2 linked regions of the Arabidopsis thaliana genome follow. The protein of the gene in region 1 purifies or fractionates together with the protein of each later gene. This does not show direct contact. Each region holds a gene or a part of one and is shown in the gene's direction. Other genes may lie near its edges.

Evidence for each region. The genes of interacting proteins can lie anywhere in the genome.
Region 2: the proteins of AT1G29870 (region 1) and AT5G57655 fractionate together in Arabidopsis thaliana (co-fractionation; one large-scale study listed by BioGRID). This does not show direct contact.

What each region holds. Positions count from the first base shown.
Region 1 is NC_003070.9:10,456,384-10,460,622, reverse strand, and holds AT1G29870 (tRNA synthetase class II (G, H, P and S) family protein), read left to right. Parts: upstream 1-1,840; coding exon 1,841-2,161; intron 2,162-2,245; coding exon 2,246-2,625; intron 2,626-2,695; coding exon 2,696-2,813; intron 2,814-2,898; coding exon 2,899-3,096; intron 3,097-3,183; coding exon 3,184-3,408; intron 3,409-3,498; coding exon 3,499-3,558; intron 3,559-3,631; coding exon 3,632-3,721; downstream 3,722-4,239. Other genes in the region: AT1G29880 (glycyl-tRNA synthetase / glycine-tRNA ligase), read left to right, coding at 57-137, 233-638, 729-961. UniProt on the Arabidopsis thaliana protein: Catalyzes the attachment of glycine to tRNA(Gly). Is also able produce diadenosine tetraphosphate (Ap4A), a universal pleiotropic signaling molecule needed for cell regulation pathways, by direct condensation of 2 ATPs.
Region 2 is NC_003076.8:23,345,090-23,350,568, forward strand, and holds AT5G57655 (xylose isomerase family protein), read left to right. Parts: upstream 1-1,585; 5' UTR 1,586-1,940; coding exon 1,941-2,000; intron 2,001-2,104; coding exon 2,105-2,209; intron 2,210-2,317; coding exon 2,318-2,392; intron 2,393-2,503; coding exon 2,504-2,633; intron 2,634-2,717; coding exon 2,718-2,809; intron 2,810-3,026; coding exon 3,027-3,080; intron 3,081-3,283; coding exon 3,284-3,569; coding exon of another isoform or gene 3,570-3,631; exon of another isoform or gene 3,632-3,646; coding exon 3,647-3,880; intron 3,881-3,965; coding exon 3,966-4,036; intron 4,037-4,133; coding exon 4,134-4,174; intron 4,175-4,263; coding exon 4,264-4,363; intron 4,364-4,441; coding exon 4,442-4,591; intron 4,592-4,680; coding exon 4,681-4,716; 3' UTR 4,717-4,976; downstream 4,977-5,479. Other genes in the region: AT5G57640 (GCK domain-containing protein), read left to right, coding at 1-357; AT5G57650 (eukaryotic translation initiation factor-like protein), read right to left, coding at 708-831, 1,174-1,196.

The sequences.
Region 1 (4,239 bases):
ATTCATTCATCTCTGTCTTTATTACTTGTCCTTAACATGGTTATCTTTTATATCAGAAACTTGTGATAACTCCTGTGAAGAAAGAACTGGGTCTTGCATTCAAGGGAAATCAAAAGAATGTGGTTGAATCTTTGGAGGTTGAACTCTTAACTGTTTTACTGAATAACTTTTTTTTTTAATAATATGGTGATGGTTTAGAATAAATATCATGCTTCGTGTAATGTTTTGTTAGGCGATGAATGAGGAAGAAGCTATGGAGATGAAAGCAACCCTGGAATCCAAAGGGGAAGTGGAGTTTTACGTGTGTACCCTAAAGAAAAGCGTGAACATCAAGAAAAACATGGTGTCTATATCAAAGGAGAAGAAGAAAGAGCACCAGCGGGTTTTCACTCCATCAGTGATTGAACCATCGTTTGGGATTGGTCGGATCATATATTGTCTGTATGAGCATTGTTTCAGCACAAGGCCAAGCAAAGCAGGGGATGAGCAGTTGAACTTGTTCCGTTTCCCTCCTCTTGTAGCTCCCATCAAGTGCACGGTTTTCCCGCTTGTTCAGAACCAACAATTCGAGGAAGTAGCCAAAGTTATTTCCAAGGAACTCGCCTCTGTCGGTATCTCCCATAAGATTGACATCACTGGTACGTAAAAACAAGTTGAGAATTGAAGTTTTTTGAAATATTGAAATGGATCAAATCAAGTAAAGATTTGTTGTGTTTGTGTGTGAACAGGTACATCGATAGGGAAGAGATATGCGAGAACCGATGAGCTTGGAGTGCCATTTGCAATAACAGTGGACTCGGATACATCAGTGACAATCAGAGAAAGAGACAGCAAAGATCAAGTCCGAGTCACCTTGAAGGAGGCAGCTTCCGTTGTGAGCTCAGTCTCAGAGGGGAAAATGACGTGGCAAGACGTCTGGGCAACCTTCCCTCACCATTCTTCTGCTGCTGCAGACGAGTAGCTAGCTCCTTGTTTTTTTCCGAATTAAAAACCAAAGTGTTAAATTAATTGTTGCTGAATCTACTCATTTTTAATGTTTTGTTTCTTAGTGTCACGTAAAAAGTTCGATACCAGATTTGGAGACGAAGTGGCTATAAAGTATAAACTCTCTGTTATATTTTCGTCCATTCTACTGCTAATTTTCTAAATTTTGGTCACAAATTTCAGTCCATCCAGTTATGGTCTGAATTGTTTGTGTTTGCATTAAGAAAAAAAAGTATGAAGGATCATTGTTTTTACAGTTTGCTAAGGATTACAAAGTTACAAGTTAGAGAAGCAAAGAGTTGACGCATCCTTGGGCAGTTGGTAGCGCCATCGTGCATATATACTGACTATTTTAGGTTTTAGTTTAGATGCAGAGATGGACTAAACCAGAGGAAAGCACATTCAAAAGTTTTTGATATCGAATAATGGGTTAGTTAAATCCAAGTTTTATGATAATGCAGCCATGCAGGCGGATAGAAATCTCGATCTTGGAGGACGTAACACAATTAGGCAAGTTATGAAGGAAAGTAAGATTATCAATATTTATGATTTTATGATTGTTATTTATATAATTAAATACAAATAATTAATACAATAGACTATAGGCAAGATATATTTAAAAAAATATTTAATTGAAATTACAATTAAAATGTTTAAGAACGAATAGAGATTTTATATTTTTTTTTAAAAACTCATCGCTTGAGCACCAAGTTTCGCATTGTAATAAAAATCCTAAAGTAACAAAACCCTGCTGAAGTTTCCCATATTAAAACCCTAGCTAGACCAAAATTGTGAGCGGACAAGTTCACACTTTTCTTGACGATTCCAAACCACTTTGGCTCCGATTCAGATCCCGATGGACGCTCCCGAACAATCTTTTCTTCGGGAGAAATCCTTGGCCGTCGAAGATCAAGAACTCGCCGTCGGAACTCTCGAGGACTCCCACGCAGCGAAACCAGAGACCAACGCTGCGATTGAGCTTCCCAACAAATCCAAGCCTGAGAAATCCGCGGTCGAGAAGGACCGTGAGGATTTTCGGGAAGCAGTGGTCAAAACTCTCGATCGGCTTTTGTTCGTCCATAAATCTTTCGATATCTACCATGGCGTCGCTGGACTTTACGATTTCGGTCCTCATGGTCGTACTGTTGAACTTAATATACTTAGCCTCTGGCGTAAGGTGAGGATTCATTCATTCATTCACATATATCTCTGGCACAATTCGGTAGACAAGAGCTGATTTTGAATTTTCTTTGATATACAGTGTTTTGTTGATGAAGAGGACATGATGGAGGTTGCTTGTACAGCTTTGACACCAGAGGCCGTTTTCAACGCATCTGGGCATGTAAAAAAGTTCACTGATCTTATGGTCAAGGATGAGGTAGATGGAGCATTTCACCGTGCGGACCACTTGGTCAAAAGTTATTGTGAAAACCGAAAGAAAGATCCTACCATCTCTGCTGAGAATGCTGCTGAATTGGATAAAGTTATAGCTCATGTGGAAGATCTTTCTGCTGAAGAGCTTGGTGGAGTATGGAATCACTGCTCCACAGCTCCAGTCACGAAGAATCCACTTTCTCATCCTCCTCGCCCCTTCAACTTGATGTTTCAAACTTCCTTTGGAGCAAGTGGTTCGTTGATAGGGTGAGTCTTTTTCCATGTAATAATTCTTTCTTTCTTGAGTTTTATTTATTTATTTGTTGGTGTGTTTCAGTTACTTGCGTCCTGAAACTGCTCAAGGCAGTTTTTGCAACTTCAAGGATTATTATAATTTGAATGGGAGAAAACTTCCGTTTGCCGTGGCTCAAGTTGGTCGAGTCTTTAGGAATGAGGTGAATATCCTTCAATATTACTAGTTGATATATTGTATACGTTTATCTGAATCTTTCTTTTAAGGGATCTTTGTTTCTCACGCAGATATCTCCACGTCAAGGGCTTCTTAGAACTCGTGAATTCACTCTGGCAGAAATTGAGCACTTTGTTCACCCTGAGCATAAGTCACATTCTAAGTTCTCTGATGTAGCAAAACTTGAACTCCTTATGTTTCCAAGAGAAGAACAAGAAAAACCTGGCCAATTTGCAAAAAGACTTTGCCTTGGCGAAGCTGTTGCTAAGGTCAGTGTATTTGTAATCATATTCGCTTACCTCCTTTTTGATAAGAAAAAAAAACTAATACTGATCTCTACAACTGAAAATGTATTAGGGCATGTGAACAGTGAGACTCTAGGATTCTTCATTGGGAGAGTGTATCTTTTCCTTATCCGTCTTGGAATAGACAAGGAACGCCTGCGCTTCCGTCATCATCTTGCAAATGAAATGGCACACTATGCAACCGATTGTTGGGATGCTGAAATTGAGTGTTCATATGGTTGGATTGAATGTGTTGGAATTGCAGATAGGTCTGATTACGACTTACGTGCTCACTCCGTAAGAAACTCACCTTTTACAACTAGATATATGTAGGTGTTCCTATTTATATTTACTTAAGTAGATTGTGGACTCTTTGTTGTATGGCAGGAAAAAAGTGGCCATGCTCTTGTGGCTCAAGAGAAACTTGCAGAGCCTATAGAAGTAGAGGTAATTTGAGCTACTCGACATTTCCACCTCTATCTATATAACTTGTCCTTCATGTGATTCTCTTATATTTCAGAAACTTGCTATTACACCTGAGATGAAAGAATTGGGTCCTGCATTCAAGGGAAATCAAAAGAATGTGGTTGAAGCTTTGGAGGTAGACTGAAGTGAAGTCTATTGTTTTACTGAATAGCTTCTTTGTCTCATGGTGATGGTTTATAATAAAGAGATAAGTTGGTATTTAGTACGTTTATGAAACATAATTATGGAAGTAGTACACTCACTATTTACAATTAGGGAAATAGCATATATGATTAGGGTCTTTCATGTTTATGTTATTTATCTTCAAACAATTAATTATTGCAGATATGTAACATGGCTCATATGAATCTTTACCTAAATCTCTGTCTCTTTTCTACTTTTCTAGCTTTACCAACGGCTGAGTTGAATCTAGAAAATTATGGTGTCACAAGTTTTTCTTTTTCTTTCTTTTTAAGTGTCCTTTAAAAAGCTCGATACCAGATTTGTAGGTTAAGTTTCGGTTATCAATGTTTCTCTTGTTAGAGACTACAATAAACACAAGCCCAAACCTAATGAAGCCCATGTGTGAGCAATCAAAGTTCTCATAAGCAGTTTGTTTGTTTGTTTGTACTACTACTACTCTACTTGCTTAAACCCCCTAAA
Region 2 (5,479 bases), on another chromosome or scaffold:
GCAAAGAAGAACAATGAAGATCACGTAAGTAAATGTAAGGAGGCAAGACTCATCTTTAAGACTTGCATGTATGATAACCCTGTTTACTATGAGCCCCTTCTTGCTGGTGAGGCTAGAGCGATGGCCAAGATGTTGAGCGAGTTGTTGAACGCGGAAAAGGAAGCTATTATGGCTGGTGAGCCTGCAGTCATTGCGAGGGCGTTTAGCGGGTTGCAAGAAGAGAATGCTGAGCCAATTCTGCCTGCTGAAGCTGCAGCGATCGGGAAGGCGTTTCGCGAGTTGGAAGCTGGAAAGAAGAAGGAGAAGGAAGCAGAGGGATCCGAGGGTAATGAGAGTGATCATCAGAATCAGAATTAGGTAAAGCTTTTTTTATGAGCATATTGAGACTTACATTGATCTGAATGAAAATTCAAATTTCGTTACTCTTAATTTTGTTTAGGTGTGTCTTCTTATATACACCATTGGTTATGTAATTTGGATGCATCTATAAAATACTGTCGTAATCACCTTCTTCTACAAAAAACTAAGACCATTTTAATATACATTTTGATTTTTTTTAAGATAAGACTTTGTGCAAGAGTTTTTATCCAATGATAGAATCTTAAGTGAGACTTGAGTAGTACTTATGCTCAACTTTTGAAACAAGAGATAGAAGTAAAAGAAAGAAGCACATTCCTTTGGCACATAAAAGTCATCAGCAGTGGTCTTCAGGATCTTCCGCAATACGCTTCAACATGAATAGCAGCCATACGGTCCATGAAGTGATCAGTGGTAATCACTGCAAGATGATCTTCAACAAAATCTTCAATCTTCTTCCAGTCACGATCAAACCTAAGAAACAGAGAGCAGTAGTATCATCAGCACAATCAGGTCCTGCTAAAATCAATATAATACTTTTAAAAAACCACACAAGTATAAAATTATTACAGTTGAAGTGCTTCAAGAAGCAGATCTATTTAGCTAATCAAAAAAGATCAATTAACTCAAGGAAGCAGATCTTTTTTAGCTTAAGTTACTACTGACCTAACACTATCATAAACTTCCCTCTCGTTCACTTATGTATCTGCCTTGACATATCAGTTTATATCCCTAAAAGCCAGCAATAATATTGAAGGATCTAACACTAAGGAAAACTAAAACATGCATTGCTCGCCAATCCAAACAGAAACTCACCAAATCGTAAGTTTCGATATCATCCAAACCAAACAAATTGAATGCCTGGGGAGAGAGAGTCTTACTGAGGAAAAATGCTTCAATTAGCCCAAATATTAAAGTCCCAATATAAGGAGACTTTTTGTTAAATTTTTAGCCCGATTAAACATAACATTTTTTAATCAGCATGCAATATTTTCATTTAATGTGCTCGGTTCTGTCACGGACACTGACATGTAATTTTTCATTTTCACGGGTGAGATAATTTTCAGACAATATTAGAATTTTTTTCTTCCCTTTGTAGTTATTCGAAATTATGTTATTGTTGGGAAGTAATGAAAAAAAACTCAACAAAATTCGATTTAATACCTATCCATAATATTATTGATCCTAAAAATAGAAAAGGATAATTTTGCTGAGTCAGAAACGTGATATTCGCGACGTTGTTTCCGGATAAAGAGTAAACGTACGACTGCTTTAACTCACCTATAAAATCACGACCGTCGATTTCATTTATGTCAAGGGGCAAAACTGAAAATCACACAAAAACAAACAAAACTTTGCTTACGTCACATCATTATCTGTGACTAATTCTTAATCATCATCATCATCATCACTTACTTAAATCTAAAAAAATCTCTGTTTGTATATATATTATCTTTGCGATTTTTATCCAAATCTTCCAAAGCTTAGTTTTTTTTTTTTTTCAATTTCTCTCTTGCGTTTTCGATTTTATTACAAGAACTTTGTTTTGGGCTTCATCCATCGTTCAAGGTTCGTTGAAAACTATGAAGAAAGTTGAGTTTTTTATGCTCCTTCTCTGCTTCATCGCAGCGTCATCTCTAGTGGTAAGACTTAATAATCAAAAGCTCGAATTTTTAATGTTCTTCCAATCATTGAAATATAATCCGAGATTAAAGTTTTTAAATTTGATCTTGATTGGTGTGTAAAGTCTGCTGATCCACCAACATGTCCTGCTGATTTGGGAGGCAAGTGTAGTGATTCTGATGACTGGCAAGGTGATTTCTTCCCTGAAATCCCCAAGATTAAGTATGAGGTAAACAATGGTGATGTTTCTCTTTAAAACTGTTGGTTTAAGTTGGAAACTTTAGTGGATTTGTTGTTTGCATGTGTAGATGAATTGGTTGTTGATGAATTTTTTCAGGGACCTTCGAGTAAGAACCCACTTGCTTACAGGTGGTATAACGCTGAAGAAGAGATTCTTGGGAAGAAAATGAAGGTACTTTTATTTTCTTGTTTGTATTTTCTTGCAACAATTTTTGAGTTATGTTTTTATGGATTTGAAGAAACGTGTGGGATGTTTGTTTGTTGTCCTGAATTTTTTGAACAGGATTGGTTTAGATTCAGTGTTGCGTTTTGGCATACTTTCCGTGGGACTGGAGGTGATCCATTTGGTGCTGCTACTAAGTATTGGCCTTGGGAAGATGGTACTAACTCTGTGTCTATGGCTAAGAGAAGAAGTAAGTCCAGATTGTGTTTTTATGTTAGTTTCTCTTCGTTATCGAGTTACTGTGATTTGAGTTACTGATTGTTGTTTAATGCAGTGAGAGCTAACTTTGAGTTCTTGAAGAAACTTGGAGTTGATTGGTGGTGTTTTCATGACAGAGACATAGCACCTGATGGCACTACACTTGAGGTAACTCGAGCTTCTGAACTTACACCATTTTGCTTTACATTGAAACTACAATCTGCTTTATTGCCTGGTGTTATAAACCATTTTGGTCCTGATATTTCCTTTGCAGCTTGCTGTTTCTTGTGGTACTTGATAACTTTGTTTTGCTCTTGTTGGCCCAATGTTAACTTGTTTCAGTCATAAAGAAAGCGCCTGTAACCTGTTTATACTTAATCTGCAGGAATCTAACAAAAACTTGGATGAAGTTATCGAACTCGCCAAAGAACTCCAAAAGGTGATTCAGTTTGTTAATTTTCCAGTTCTTATTACACATTGGATTTTGGAAGATACTTCTTGTAGTTAATCAATTCTCCAATACAGACTCATGTATGCCATTTTATAATTGAATCTTTTTATCACTGAAACAGTACTATCTTGTTACCATTCCTTAGTTTGATGTGCTAAGAAAAAAAGGTTCTTCGTTTTCTTCAAATGCAGGGGAGCAAAATCAAACCATTGTGGGGAACAGCTCAGCTTTTCTTGCATCCTCGTTATATGCACGGAGGAGCGACCAGCTCTGAAGTTGGAGTGTATGCTTACGCTGCTGCTCAGGTGAAGAAAGCCATGGAGGTAACACATTACTTAGGTGGTGAAAACTACGTTTTTTGGGGTGGTCGTGAAGGTTATCAGACACTCTTGAACACTGATATGGGAAGAGAGCTTGATCATCTAGCCAGGTTCTTTGAAGCTGCTGTTGCTTACAAGAAGAAGATTGGATTCAAAGGTAAGTCTACTGCTTCTTTTTCTTGTCCTGTATTCAGTCTTATGGGAGTTATTGCACAATAATCTTCTTTTTATCAGGCACGCTTTTAATCGAGCCCAAGCCTCAAGAACCCACCAAGCACCAGTATGACTGGGATGCTGCAACAGCTGCCAATTTCTTGAGGAAATATGGTCTTATTGATGAGTTTAAGCTCAACATTGAGTGTAACCATGCCACGCTCTCTGGTCACACTTGTCATCACGAGCTTGAAACTGCAAGAATTAATGGTTTACTTGGCAACATTGATGCAAACACTGGCGATGCTCAAACTGGTAATTTTTCAATTTCAGCTCTCTTGATTGTTAACACCTCCTAACCAGATTCTGATTGAACAAAGTTCTCTCATTCTCTTAACAGGATGGGATACAGATCAGTTTCTTACAGATGTTGGAGAAGCAACCATGGTTATGATGAGTGTCATCAAAAATGTATGTAATATTAAAGAAACTCGCTATTTTTGGGAATTTCATTGTAAATTTTTGAATGTAAGCTCATAAGAGCTTCTGTTTTTCACATATGAAACAGGGTGGGATTGCTCCAGGCGGCTTCAACTTTGACGCTAAACTGTAAGAGCGATTCTTGATTCACAATGTTTTACTGTTTCATACAAAATTAAACCGAGAAAGAAGCTTATAATGTTTGGTTGATTAAACAGGCGAAGAGAGAGTACAGACGTGGAAGACTTATTCATTGCTCATATTAGTGGAATGGATACAATGGCTCGTGGACTGAGAAATGCAGTCAAAATCTTGGAGGTTAGTTAAGATATGAATAGATAAGTTTTATAAAAGAACCAAAGAGTGTAGCTTTAACTTGGTTTCGGTGTGGTAAAGGAGGGAAGTCTAAGTGAATTGGTACGCAAGCGATATGCAACTTGGGACTCTGAGCTTGGGAAGCAAATAGAAGAAGGAAAAGCTGATTTTGAGTATCTTGAGAAGAAAGCTAAAGAGTTTGGAGAACCAAAGGTTTCTTCTGCTAAACAGGTACAAGTTTCTTGCTATTAATTCTGGTTTTGTTTCGTTAAACACGAAAAACACACAATGATCGATGTCTTTTGAAACGAAATCTGCAGGAACTCGCTGAGATGATTTTCCAATCTGCAATGTAAGAAGAAGAACAAGAAGGCTTTTTATGTTTATTAAAAGTATCGTCTTTTTTAGTTTCCCTCGCATCTTTGAGAAGTTTGAAAACCAAAACATTGGAAAATAAGATGATTAGAGAGGTTGGTTTCATTATTTCAGTTGATGTACTATGGTTTCACACTCTAATTACTTTAAATTGAATAACAAAAAACTGTTTAGGCCTTTACTTTGATTCAGTTACGGTTTTTGTGACAAAGACCAATGAGCAATTCCGATCTATTTCTTCACTCGACTATAGTAAAGTTTGTAGGAGGTTTTATACGAGAAAGTTTAAAACAGCGATATACATATATACAATCAAAATTCTTCTTACCTTATGAAAATTTGAAAAGCAATATATGATTTTCACATTAAGCTTTGAGTTTTGAGTTTGAAAACGTTGATTCTTAAAAATGGTCTAACATCAATAAAAACTTTATCCAATTCATTTCGTTTCGTTAGTTATGATTTCAGAATTTTCTGTTGAGATTTAAAGGAAACTCAAAGTCCTAATTTGACAAATTTCTCGACAAAATCTTTGATAGTATTTGATAAGAAAGGTTTGAAAACTAGGGAAACATAGCCTATCTACTTGATGTATCTATGAAATAGTTGTGATGACTTTGTTAATTTCGTATTTGCGACGACCGTGATGTATTACAATAATTGAGTCTTCTATGATGTTGAACCTAATTACTATCCGTCGATGGTTCTAGAAAATTTCTTTATTTGTTGTTGAATGAATTAATT